Drosophila melanogaster: one gene and its partner. The protein of the gene in region 2 purifies or fractionates together with the protein of the main gene of each other region. This does not show direct contact. Each region holds a gene or a part of one and is shown on either strand. Other genes may lie near its edges.

Evidence for each region. The genes of interacting proteins can lie anywhere in the genome.
Region 1: the proteins of CG5355 (region 2) and CG2767 purify together in Drosophila melanogaster (affinity purification with mass spectrometry, with the first as the bait; one large-scale study listed by BioGRID). This does not show direct contact.

What each region holds. Positions count from the first base shown.
Region 1 is NT_033777.3:8,004,752-8,010,712, reverse strand, and holds CG2767 (uncharacterized protein), read left to right. Parts: upstream 1-2,602; 5' UTR 2,603-2,745; coding exon 2,746-2,817; intron 2,818-3,200; coding exon 3,201-3,381; intron 3,382-3,748; coding exon 3,749-3,876; intron 3,877-3,936; coding exon 3,937-4,496; intron 4,497-4,564; coding exon 4,565-4,613; 3' UTR 4,614-4,789; downstream 4,790-5,961. Other genes in the region: CG3223 (uncharacterized protein), read right to left, coding at 1-535, 594-1,010, 1,084-1,225; CG11052 (uncharacterized protein), read left to right, coding at 1,662-1,866, 1,921-1,937, 2,052-2,161, 2,213-2,330; CG2698 (uncharacterized protein), read right to left, coding at 4,797-4,956, 5,433-5,459, 5,850-5,961.
Region 2 is NT_033779.5:10,409,645-10,415,255, reverse strand, and holds CG5355 (uncharacterized protein), read left to right. Parts: upstream 1-1,792; 5' UTR 1,793-1,825; coding exon 1,826-1,931; intron 1,932-2,036; coding exon 2,037-2,632; intron 2,633-2,688; coding exon 2,689-2,831; intron 2,832-2,891; coding exon 2,892-3,051; intron 3,052-3,113; coding exon 3,114-3,233; intron 3,234-3,294; coding exon 3,295-3,375; intron 3,376-3,433; coding exon 3,434-3,825; intron 3,826-3,892; coding exon 3,893-4,165; intron 4,166-4,219; coding exon 4,220-4,619; 3' UTR 4,620-4,719; downstream 4,720-5,611. Other genes in the region: Klp31E (Kinesin-like protein at 31E), read right to left, coding at 1-272, 337-475, 599-654; RpS27A (ribosomal protein S27A), read right to left, coding at 4,866-5,015, 5,205-5,525.

The DNA.
Region 1 (5,961 bases), on a different chromosome or scaffold from region 2:
AGCACATCACTGTCGTCTCCACCATCGTCCTCGTCATCTACATCATCGGCTGGTGCTGTGGCGGCTTGCTCTGGTACTGGTCCTTCTCCGGACTCCACCTCCATGTTCTCCACAGGCGCCGGTTGATCCTGCGACAGGGACTGAAAAGCGCGGGCCAGCTCGTTGCGGAGCAACTCTGAGGATATGGATCCGCTGCTGATGGCTCCACTGCTGCTTCCTGCGCCTGTTCCCGCTGCTCCTCCAACGCCTGCTAATGGCGCCGAGGTGGTTCTAGGTCTTTCATCACCCTGCACGGCCTCGTCCGCGTTTCTCTGCGCAATATTCGACAGTGAATTAAACGGGGTCACGTTAGCCAATGCGTTAGCCAGTTGCTGGCGGCTAATCTGACGGATGTTGGCCATCTCATCACGCCGATTGGCGGCCGCGGCAGCTGCCACGGCTGTGCTGCTGCTTCCACCACTGCTGCTGCTGCCTGCACCCAGAGAGTTTTCCTCCTCTGACGAAGTAGTAGACTCCGAAGCAGCTTGCTCCTGCACTAAAAAGGAAGAAACGGGTAAAATATACAAATCAAGAATAGATACGGCATTAGTTACACTGCGTGGCCGAGCTATTTCTGGCTAGCTCCTTGCGAATGGTGTCCACTATGAATGGAGCGGCCTCGCAGATGAGGGGATAATCTTTAACGAGATTTTGGACCACTTCCGGCTCGTGCAGCATGTTGAACAGTACGGAGTCGCGAATAAGGGCCTGGGCGCCCAGATTTCGCCTAAATTCCGGATACTCAGCGAGTATCTTCTGCAGAATGTTGAACCGCGAGGTAACGCTGATTTGCAGGTGCGAGGTCAACGAAAACAGCTCTTGAATATGCTTCGTGTTGATTTCGGCGGCGGCTGGCGGCACATACGGCGAGTAACGTTTAATCTTCTGAAAGCAGTGGATCACGGCGTTGGGCTGCAGCGTTCGGTTGAGGGTGTCTGCGTCCTCCAGCACGCGTCCGTGGTGGATGATCTCTGCAAGTGCGCAGCAAATGACTTGACACAATAGAGACAATGGACAGCGATTTGAATCCCGAGGGTCACTCACCCAACTCGCTGGCGTCGAATTGCAAGTGCATCTCTTTGGTCACCACCGCCTTTAGGTAGGCCACATCCCGCGTCAGATCGATGTTGTGTAGGGGATGCACATCGCTCAGCTTGTTCTTCAGAAGCGCGTACACGGTATGCATAGTGCGTTGATGTAGAATCTGCGTAATATTTGTAATTCACTATTTTGTCTGGGTGATTTTGTTTTGTTCAAAGACAGTTCGGAACTGGTTCCAACGAACCGCCTTGAACACAGGGTGACCCTTACATGCCCCGATAGCCCGAACCAGACTGATCGGGTCGACCGACGATTTAAAAAAGGCTAAAAAAGCTAGATCTAAAAATACCGCTCTAGGATTGCTGTCGAATTTTCAACATAAGTGTTCATTTGTTGACAATAAGAAAACGTAACTTTTGCTATTGTTTTTGTTTTACCTTGTTCAAGTCATTTCATTTAAAATGTACTGTTTTTAAAGCCATTGAAATTCAAGGTGACCCAAAATAAAACCCTCAATCCCTATCGACCTATCGATTTTTGACAGTTTCCGCTCCAAATATGTTAAATATACGAGTTGTAAAATGACCTCCCAAGAAACGCAGACTGAGGGTGAACGTAGGAGGGTAACTCTTCCATCTTCGACACCAGATAAAGGTACACCATCCAAAAAAGGCAGCGAGGAGCCCAACCGAATTTCGAACACAGAGTTCCAAAAAAGAGTAACATCGGACAGAAGCGATGAGCCGGTCTTCAGCTGCCAATTCGAAGTGTTCGGCATTGTGCAAGGTAGGGTATTCACAAATCGTATAGTCGCAATAATTAGTTATCTGGCACCAACAGGCGTTTCATTTCGAATGGTAAGAGCTTGCTGGGAAATGGGATCTTCAAAACCCCTTTGAGCTATGGATTTTCTGCTACCTCTTATTGTATATGTGAAATCTCTTTACTGTAATCCAATTACCATGTTTTAGTACACCTTGCGAAGAGCTCAAAAGCTGGGAGTCCGGGGTTGGTGCAAAAACACCAACGAGAATACGGTGAAGGGCGAAATTCAAGCACACCGACATTCCTTTGAGTCCATGTGAGTGATTTTTTCCATTCAACGTTTAATTATCAAGCCGTTCTTTTACAGGCGCCTCTGGCTAAAGCACACCGGCAGCCCCACCAGTCGAATTGACAAATGCATTTTCAGTGAGACTACAGAACTTTCAGAATTCACGTTCACTAACTTCTCCATAGTGGTGGATTAGTTGTTCTCTAAAAGCTTAAAATCATTTAGAAACGGAATTGAATTTTTCTTACACACACTTATACAGTATTTGGATATGAGCTACAAATTTTTCTATTGTTATAATATTAAATCTAACTAAAATGCAAATAAATTAGTCCGATATTTTATAGTAAACGAGCCTTAAACCATTTATGGTAAGTACATTTATTTTTAAATTCGATTGTTTTGTTAAACAAATATCGACTAGTAAGACCGCGCTTTGCAAAAGGCAGAATCTCATTGGATTGGGTGAGATAAGTGGGCCGGTGACTGGGTCGTAGCTTCTTGTTTAATTTCAATTCAATCCTCGAAGCAACAGGTTGTGCCGCATCTTTTCCATTTAATCTGTTACTCAAGTCTGTTTTAGTGTACAAGTTATCAAAAATCAATACAAAATGGTCAACACCAAGTTCTTAACGTTCAACAATGGAGAGAAGATGCCCGTGATTGGCATCGGCACCTGGCAGGTATTTATAATCACGTTAATTCTGTAATTTCATAGATTGCTTGTAAGTGGTTAAATGGATAGTAGATATTCGAATCTTAATACTATTGTTTCAACTTATTAATGACCTCAACAAATCGCTGACACGTCATTTAAATCTCTTGAAATTCCGATTCCGATGCAATCAACAATTTGGTTGGTGCTGGGGGACTTTAGACCGGTTTTCAAAAACAAACAATAAACCACCATTCATATCCACTGGTGGACTGGACTTTCTCTGGTCACGGGAGAATAAATATCGTTGTAAATCGAGTTTGAAGATTTTCGGGTAGTGTAGATTATGCAAATCCTATAATCAATATATATACAATACCACTAAACCGCACTTTCATCACCACAATGCAGGCATCTGATGAGGAAATCGAAACCGCCATCGATGCGGCTTTGGAAGCTGGGTATCGCCACATAGATACGGCGCCAGTCTACGGCAATGAGAAGGCCATCGGAAGAGTCCTAAAGCGTTGGCTGGACGCCGGCAAGGTCAAGCGGGAGGAGCTGTTCATTGTGACCAAGGTGCCACCCGTTTGTAAGTAGCATTTAGTAGTTGGATGGTATTTCAAAATGCCATATAAACATTTATAAATAGTTCCTATGTTCTATGCCCACAGAATCTTAAGATCCATAGAAACCAAAGCATTTTACACCAGCTACCAATATTCTTTTTGATATCTAGTTGATAAAATAAGACTAGGAACGTGATTTTAAAACACCAACATAGACTCCTTCAGTGTTCATAATTTCAATTTAAAAACATTTTTATTATCACCACATGACTCTTTGATATGATAAATGAACCTGATGTGAATGACTATAAATATAGCTGTGAGAGTTTTCACTATTACGAGTCCAGTTATTTCAAAAATAATATAATAATAATATAATCCTTGTTTTAGCCAACCGCCCCCACGAAGTTGAGCCAACCATCAAAAAGTCACTGGAAGATCTGCAACTGGACTATGTGGACTTATATTTGGTGCACACTCCCTTCACAATTAATATCAACGAGGACGGAAGCTTTAAGGTAGTTGTGCTACGGAATCTAATCCCAACTCCTATACACATCTCGAGCATTAACTTTCAGCTCGACAAGGAGGGCCTAATGGAGGTCGACGTTACCACGAACCACGCAGCCATCTGGGTTGCTATGGAGGCCCTGGTGGAGAAGGGTCTCACCAAGTCCATTGGGGTATCCAACTTCAGCAAGGATCAGGTGGCCCGTCTGTTGAAGAACTGCAAGATCCGGCCGGCCAACAACCAGATTGAGCACCACGTTTATTTGCAGCAGCGAGATCTGGTCGACTTCTGCAAGTCCGAAAACATTACCGTAACTGCCTACTCCCCGTTGGGATCCAAGGGAATCGCCAAGTTTAATGCTGGAGCGGGCATCGTGAGAGATCTGCCGGACCTGATGGACATCCCTGAGGTGAAGGAGATTGCCGCAAGCCATGGCAAGACGCCAGCGCAGGTCCTCCTCCGCTGGATTATCGACACTGGTGTATCCGCCATTCCCAAGAGCACGAATCCCGCTCGCCTTAAACAGAATCTGGACGTCTTCGATTTCGAACTGACGGCCGAGGAGGTGGCCAAGTTGTCTAGCCTGGACCAGAATATTCGAATCTGTGACTTTGCATTCTTCCATGGGTATAAAAATATGACTTAGCTTTAATCCCTCTATTTTATTTATTTATTTATTTTTATTTTGTTTACAGTGTGGAAAGGCATCCTGAGTTTACCTTCAAGAATCAGTACACGAACTAAACGGCATAGCTATATAAAAAGAATTCAAATGAACGCAGTAAATTCTTTTCCAAAACATTACTTTGTGTCGAAAGTATAGAAAAGCAACCATTTATTTTGTAACAGTTATAAAAAAAGTAATTACTCGCAATTCGGTCATTATACACAGATAAAATGTAGTTATGATATTTATATACAAATTCTTTACTGGTTTTCTTTGGTATTCAACAGTTGAAATGTCTTGGTTTTCGTTACGATTTTCAGCTCAACAGGTTTTCCCTCTATGACAGACTTTCCATCCGTGTTATCGTTCGTTTTTATTATACTGTCGTTAACAGTTTCGTTGACCCTTCGAGGAATCGAGCTGGAAAACCACTTTCAAATTCAAAAAAGCTTGCATTCAGCGGTAGTTAGTTAGTACAGAAATATATTTGCAAGACATTTTGTATCTAAGTTTAAACACATCACAATTTTACATTAAGCAATTAGTAGCGAGCACGATATCGGTACTTGAAGGCTTTGGAAATGTTTCGCGACTACAAATAATTCGAGGTACATTTTGTATGTAAGAACACTAAGATCGATAGAATAGATATTAAGGAGCGCTTGCTGCATAGACGGAATATTGAATAATATCATAAAAATCAATGTTCGCAAAGCGGTAAGATTAGCAACTGAGAAACGAACAACAATAGTTAAAGGAAGCTCCAGCCTATGTCTAGGTTATGATATTCGGGCCAATCTCATTTTGATTGTCAGGTATTTGGCCACACAGCTTATGTTAGTTCGCAGTTCGAGTATTAAAAGGAAATTCGTAGTTTCTGGTCCATGCCAACTCACGTGGTCCGCTCCTCGTCCGTACTGTTCCTGAAATTCAGCAAAGGATTTTCATTAAATTAAGATATAACAAGGAAGAAGTAAGTAGCTTCGGCAAGCCGGAGCTTATATACCCTTGCAGTATTTATATACTCTTACTCTTGACGGCGGTATAATAAAATATTCTTTTCTGGACCGTTTCTGCATTGAAAGAAAACTTTTGGAAATTTTTCCTTGACGGACAGACGGACATGGCTAGTGAATCCCTGCATTGTAGACTTCTTACTAAAATCCTCTGCAATGGTATAAAAGATTTTAAATCTAAATAAGCATGCCAGCAAATAACTCACTTTAATCCCTGCCGCACAAGTCTGATGTGGTTCATACTTTGCATGCAAATTAAACAAATTCATCGAATTTGGCTTGGGAAAGTCTAATTACCTGGGCTCTTGATGACTGCGCATGGCCAGCGTGGCCACCTCAAAAAGGCCGATGAAGAAGCAAAGCATAAGGGGTCCGAAAATAGCTCCTTGCCAACCGATCCAATACATTC
Region 2 (5,611 bases):
ACAGCCAAACTGAACTGCGGACTTCCACCAGCCGCTGGATGTTCTGAAGTGCTGGATCCCTCCAGTTGTTCGATACCACTGAATATATGACGAACAGCCCGTGGAATAATGCCAAGCTGAACGGAATCGGATGACTCCGACTCGTGGTCGAAACCAGTGCCCATTGTATACGTTTTTCCCGATCCTGTTTGCCCGTAGGCGAGTACGGTGGCATTATAGCCATGGAGGGTACTATCTACTAATTTTTCCACGCAGTCCGAGTATATATCACACTGAAATGGTTAATAAAGGCTAATGAAACTTAAGACAAGGTGGAAATTAGTATGACAACTTTACCTGATTGGAATTGGTATCAAAAACATAGTCGAACGTAAAGGCTTTGTCAGATCCAAGAAAAATCTGAGGCTCTCCAAGAGTGACGGTCGTGCAGATACGACACATATCTATTAGCTCCCTCGAGTTTTGAGGTCGGATTCTGAAAAAATATACAATATTATATGCTTTTAGGCGCACTTAACAGATATTCAAATTTAAACTTTTAGAATTTCAAGCTCTTTTATGGTCATAGTTATTGTTTTTTGAATTGTAATAATCTTACCTGACAGCAACACGTACTGAACTATCCTTATTTATGGAGTCCACTTCGGAAATCATATTGCAATCTGAAAACAATTAATGTGAATTAAATTAAATTCGCAATATATTTAACACCCGGATATTATCTAGAAGGCCGTGCTTAAGTCATACACCTTATGAAATACTCAACAAAATATTTAGTTACAAGGTCACTTCTAACAAAATTGTTAACTCAGCGAAAATAAATAGATGTCATAGGAAACCCGTAGAAAATCGCCCATTGTTATGAACTAATACTACTAATCCAACTGCACTGTATAAAACTGAATAAGTTCTGTATTACCTTTTAGATCAACATAATAACTAGTTAGCTAAGTTAATACATTCAAAATGTTTGTTTATGCATACAAGCTTAGGTACATCCATATGCGCCTACAAGTTGCTGATCAAGAAAAACATACATATGGAAGGAAAATTTGTGAAAACTTCGATTTCCCAGCACAATTGATGTACGAAAAGTTCAAGCAAAGCTACATACCGAACAAATAAAGCGCTTACTGGTGGCTAACAAATTAAACGAACTAAAAACAGCGCGGAATTCCAATTCAATTCATTTACTCGGTCCGTTTGACTTGATTCGATTGTGTTTATATTCCGACTCGACTCGCCTCCCGATACCAAAACATATGGTTTAACAGAGGTAATCTGTTCACGGACCGATTAATTTCGAGCCACAGTTGGCTGTGTCACACCTGACATTTGCGGTATTTTATTGGGGGTGCTCTTGCATGAATTTCTAAAACTAAAGCAATGGTATTTTCTATACGTGTGCGGTATATTTTCAAGAATAAAGCTACTACCTTGGTGCAGCATTTCGTACCGACTAAAGGAACTTGGTTTATATTGCTTCACCAGTTGTTATTGTATTTTATAGTTAAATTAAACAGTGGTTTTAAGATTTAATCAAGATTGATTTCAACACGAATACGTAAATAAAAGCTAACAGTTGCTAAGTTTACCTATATATTAAAATGTTTTTCAAAATCTGTCATAGCATCTCGTTTTGAGCATTCAAATATTTAAATAAATAATAATATAATATGTAAAATTACAAGAGAAATTTCTTTTTAAATTAGTTATAAGGAGGCGGCGATATATAGTTCGCAGTAGCAAAATTTAAGGAGTGCCCCTAACACCTATCGAAACTATCGCAAGTTAGTGTCCCATTTTTGCATTGATAATTTTGCAAATGCATACCATTTTTCGAGGACCGCTGCTCTACCGCCGAATTTGTCAAATAGTTGTACCCAAAACGCTGCCCAGAAATTACATTCATCGAGAATTGCCTTCAAATCGTAAGTATACACATATATATATATAGCTAATGGGGATGAGTTGCAAAAGCCGAAAAGCGAAAGATTAATACATATATTCTCATACGTGTAATAAATCCAACAAAGTTACCAGAGCCATGCCAAGTACTTTGTCCGCTAAGCTCGCGTATCCAGTTGCTCGGAAGGATGAAAGCGTGGCAGAGGACTTTCATGGCACCCAGATCAAGGATGTGTACCGCTGGCTCGAAGATCCGGACTCCACGGAAACCGAGGAATTCGTGAATGCCCAGAACAGCATAAGCCGGCCTTTCCTCGAGAATGGAGAGGAGTGGAAGAAACTGAACACGAAGCTTACCAAGCTGTGGAACTATCCCAAATACGGATGTCCCATGCGTTATGGCAACTATTACTATTACTTTATGAACACTGGCCTGCAAAACCAGAGCGTCATGTACCAGCAGAAATCGCTGGGCGACGAGAGTGAAAGCAAGGTGTTCCTGGATCCGAACACCCTGTCCGAGGACGGTACCATCGCCCTGACTCAGAAGGCCTTCTCCGAGGATGGCAAGTACATGGCCTACGGCCTGAGTGAAAGTGGATCCGATTGGATCAAGATTCTCATTCGAGATGCCGAAACGGGCAAGGATCTGAGCGAGGTCCTTGAAAAGGTCAAGTTCTCGGAGATTTCGTGGACAAAAGACAATAAGGGATTCTTTTATGGTGTGAGTACTGGACTCTTTCGTCCTGGTAATTCAAATTCAAGTCGTTTATTTCTTAGAGATACCCTGACCAAGATGGAAAAACCGATGGATCTGAGACCAAACAGAATGAGAATCAAAAGTTGTACTATCACCGGGTGGGTGAGAGCCAGGATAAAGACACACTGGTGGTCGAATTTCCGGAAGAGCCTTCGTGGCGCATGTAATGATCTTAAATTGTATGGTGTTGAAACATAGATTATAATCAATTTTCCAACTTTAGCCAATCCACCGTCTCGGATTGTGGAAAATACCTGATTCTGGCCATTGTTAAAGATTGCCGTGACAACATTGTGTTCTATGCTGATCTTACGCCAGGTGCGGAAATAACTTCCAAACTGAATGTCAAGAAAATTGTGGAAAAATTCGAGGCGGACTACGATGTATGTAATGTTTTCACAGTCTTTAAAATAGTAATGTATACATGTTTATATCATTATTTCAGTACATTACCAATGAAGGCTCGAAGATATTCTTCCGTACAAATAAGAATGCACCAAATTACCAAGTTATTGCCATAGACTTCAATAATTCAGCGGAGGACAAATGGGAAACGCTTATAGCCGTAGGTTTAGTTTGTTTTTAAACGTAGATAAGATTAATCACGACTACTATACGTTTTATAGGAGCACAAGTCGGATGTTTTGGACTGGGTTAAGTGCGTTGATAATGATAAACTGCTCGTTTGTTACATCAGGGATGTGAAGGTAAATAATAACCTATTAGTCATTCATCTATATGCCTCATTCCATATTCGTTCTTCAGAGCGTTTTGCAAGTGAATTCCCTAAAGGATGGCACCCTACTGCGCGAATTCGACTTGGATATCGGCACCATTGTAGGCACATCGGGAGAGAAGAAATATTCTGAAATATTCTACAACTTCTCGTCCTTTTTGAATCCCGGCTCCATTTATCGATATGATTTCAAGACACCTGACAAGTCGCCATCAGTATTCCGCGAAATCAAACTGAATTTGGAAGGATTCCGTCGCGAGGATTACGCCGTTGAGCAGATATTCTACAAGAGCAAGGATGGCACCAAGGTTCCCATGTTCATAATTAGGAAAAAACGTGATAGTGTTGAGCCGCGACCATGTCTGCTTTACGGATACGGAGGCTTCAACATCAGCATGCTGCCTTCCTTCGGACTCTCTGGGTATGTTGAGAAATACTTTTTAAAAGTTAGCATGTATATATGTGAACACATCCTTCAATCTCTGCAGGCTTATGTTCATCGACACATTCGATGGTGTGCTCGCCTATCCGAATCTGCGAGGTGGTGGCGAATATGGCGAGAAGTGGCACAACGGCGGTCGCCTGCTGAACAAGCAGAACGTGTTCGATGACTTCCAAGCAGCTGCCGAGTACTTGATCGAGAATAAGTACACGACCAAGGATCGTTTGGCCATCCAAGGTGGCTCCAACGGAGGCCTTTTGGTCGGCTCGTGTATCAACCAACGTCCGGATTTGTTTGGAGCTGCTGTGGCTCAAGTTGGGTAAGTAGATAGCCTGTTTGTTGTGACCAAGTGAGAAATATATTGATTTCATAGTGTCATGGATATGTTGCGCTTCCACAAGTTCACCATTGGCCACGCTTGGTGCTCGGATTATGGAAACCCATCGGAGAAGGAGCACTTTGACAACCTGTACAAGTTCTCGCCGCTGCATAATGTGCACACTCCGAAGGGCGCCGAAACGGAATACCCATCGACTTTGATCCTGACCGCCGACCACGACGATCGTGTCAGCCCTTTGCATTCGCTCAAGTTCATTGCGGCCCTCCAGGAAGCTGTTCGCGACTCGGAATTCCAGAAAAATCCCGTTCTGTTGCGCGTCTACCAGAAGGCGGGCCATGGCGCTGGCAAGCCGACATCGAAGAGAATCGAGGAAGCCACCGATATACTGACTTTCTTGTCCAAAAGCCTTAACGTCGACATAGTTAACGTTTGAGTGGTTAACCATAAACAAATTGCATTTCTCAAGGTCGAGTAAAAATCGAGTATACAAAATGTATTCAATATTTTCACAAATAAACCATACACCCTAAATGAAACTTTAGTGTTTTGCTAAACAATTACTAACCACGCTAGTGCTAACTAACAATAAAAAAAAAGGAAAATTTCAGCGATTGAATTTATTATTCAATTACTACCTTTATTTGATTTCTGGAAACGTACATGATCTTATGTAGCAAAATTACTTTTCCTCTGGTTTGCTGAAGACAAAGGTCAGGTTGCACTTGCCGCAGTAGTGACGATCTTCGTGGGCAGCCATGAAGACGCCGGCGCCGCAGTTCTCACCAGGGCACTCGCGACGGAGACGGTGGATCTTGCCGTTCTCGTCAACCTATGGAAAGGAAAGAGCATAGAAAGTGATTAAATACTGAGATCGTACACATGTTCATTCAATATAGGGCACTGGTAAAGTCACTCTGATATCCAAATCTTAAGCCAATGAGCACAAGACCAAGACTCAAGAATTCCAAGAACAGATCAGAATGTTTTCGGTATGGTGTCGGTAGATTGTTGTGTGTACCTTGTAGTATTTCAGGACAGCTAGCTTGACCTTCTTCCTCTTGTGCTTGATTTTCTTGGGAGTGGAGTAGTTCTTCTTCTTGCGCTTCTTGGCACCACCACGCAGGCGGAGCACCAAGTGCAAAGTGGACTCCTTCTGAATGTTATAGTCAGAGAGGGTGCGGCCATCTTCCAGCTGCTTGCCAGCGAAGATCAGACGCTGCTGATCTGGAGGAATTCCTTCTTTGTCCTGAATCTTGGCTTTGACATTTTCGATAGTATCCGACGGTTCGACCTCAAGAGTGATGGTCTTGCCCGTGAGGGTCTTAACGAAGATCTGCATCTTGTATTCCAGTCACCAAACTGCAAGAAACAAAAAGATGTTGGTATAGATATGTGTGTTTATATATATGGCATTGCTACAGCTAA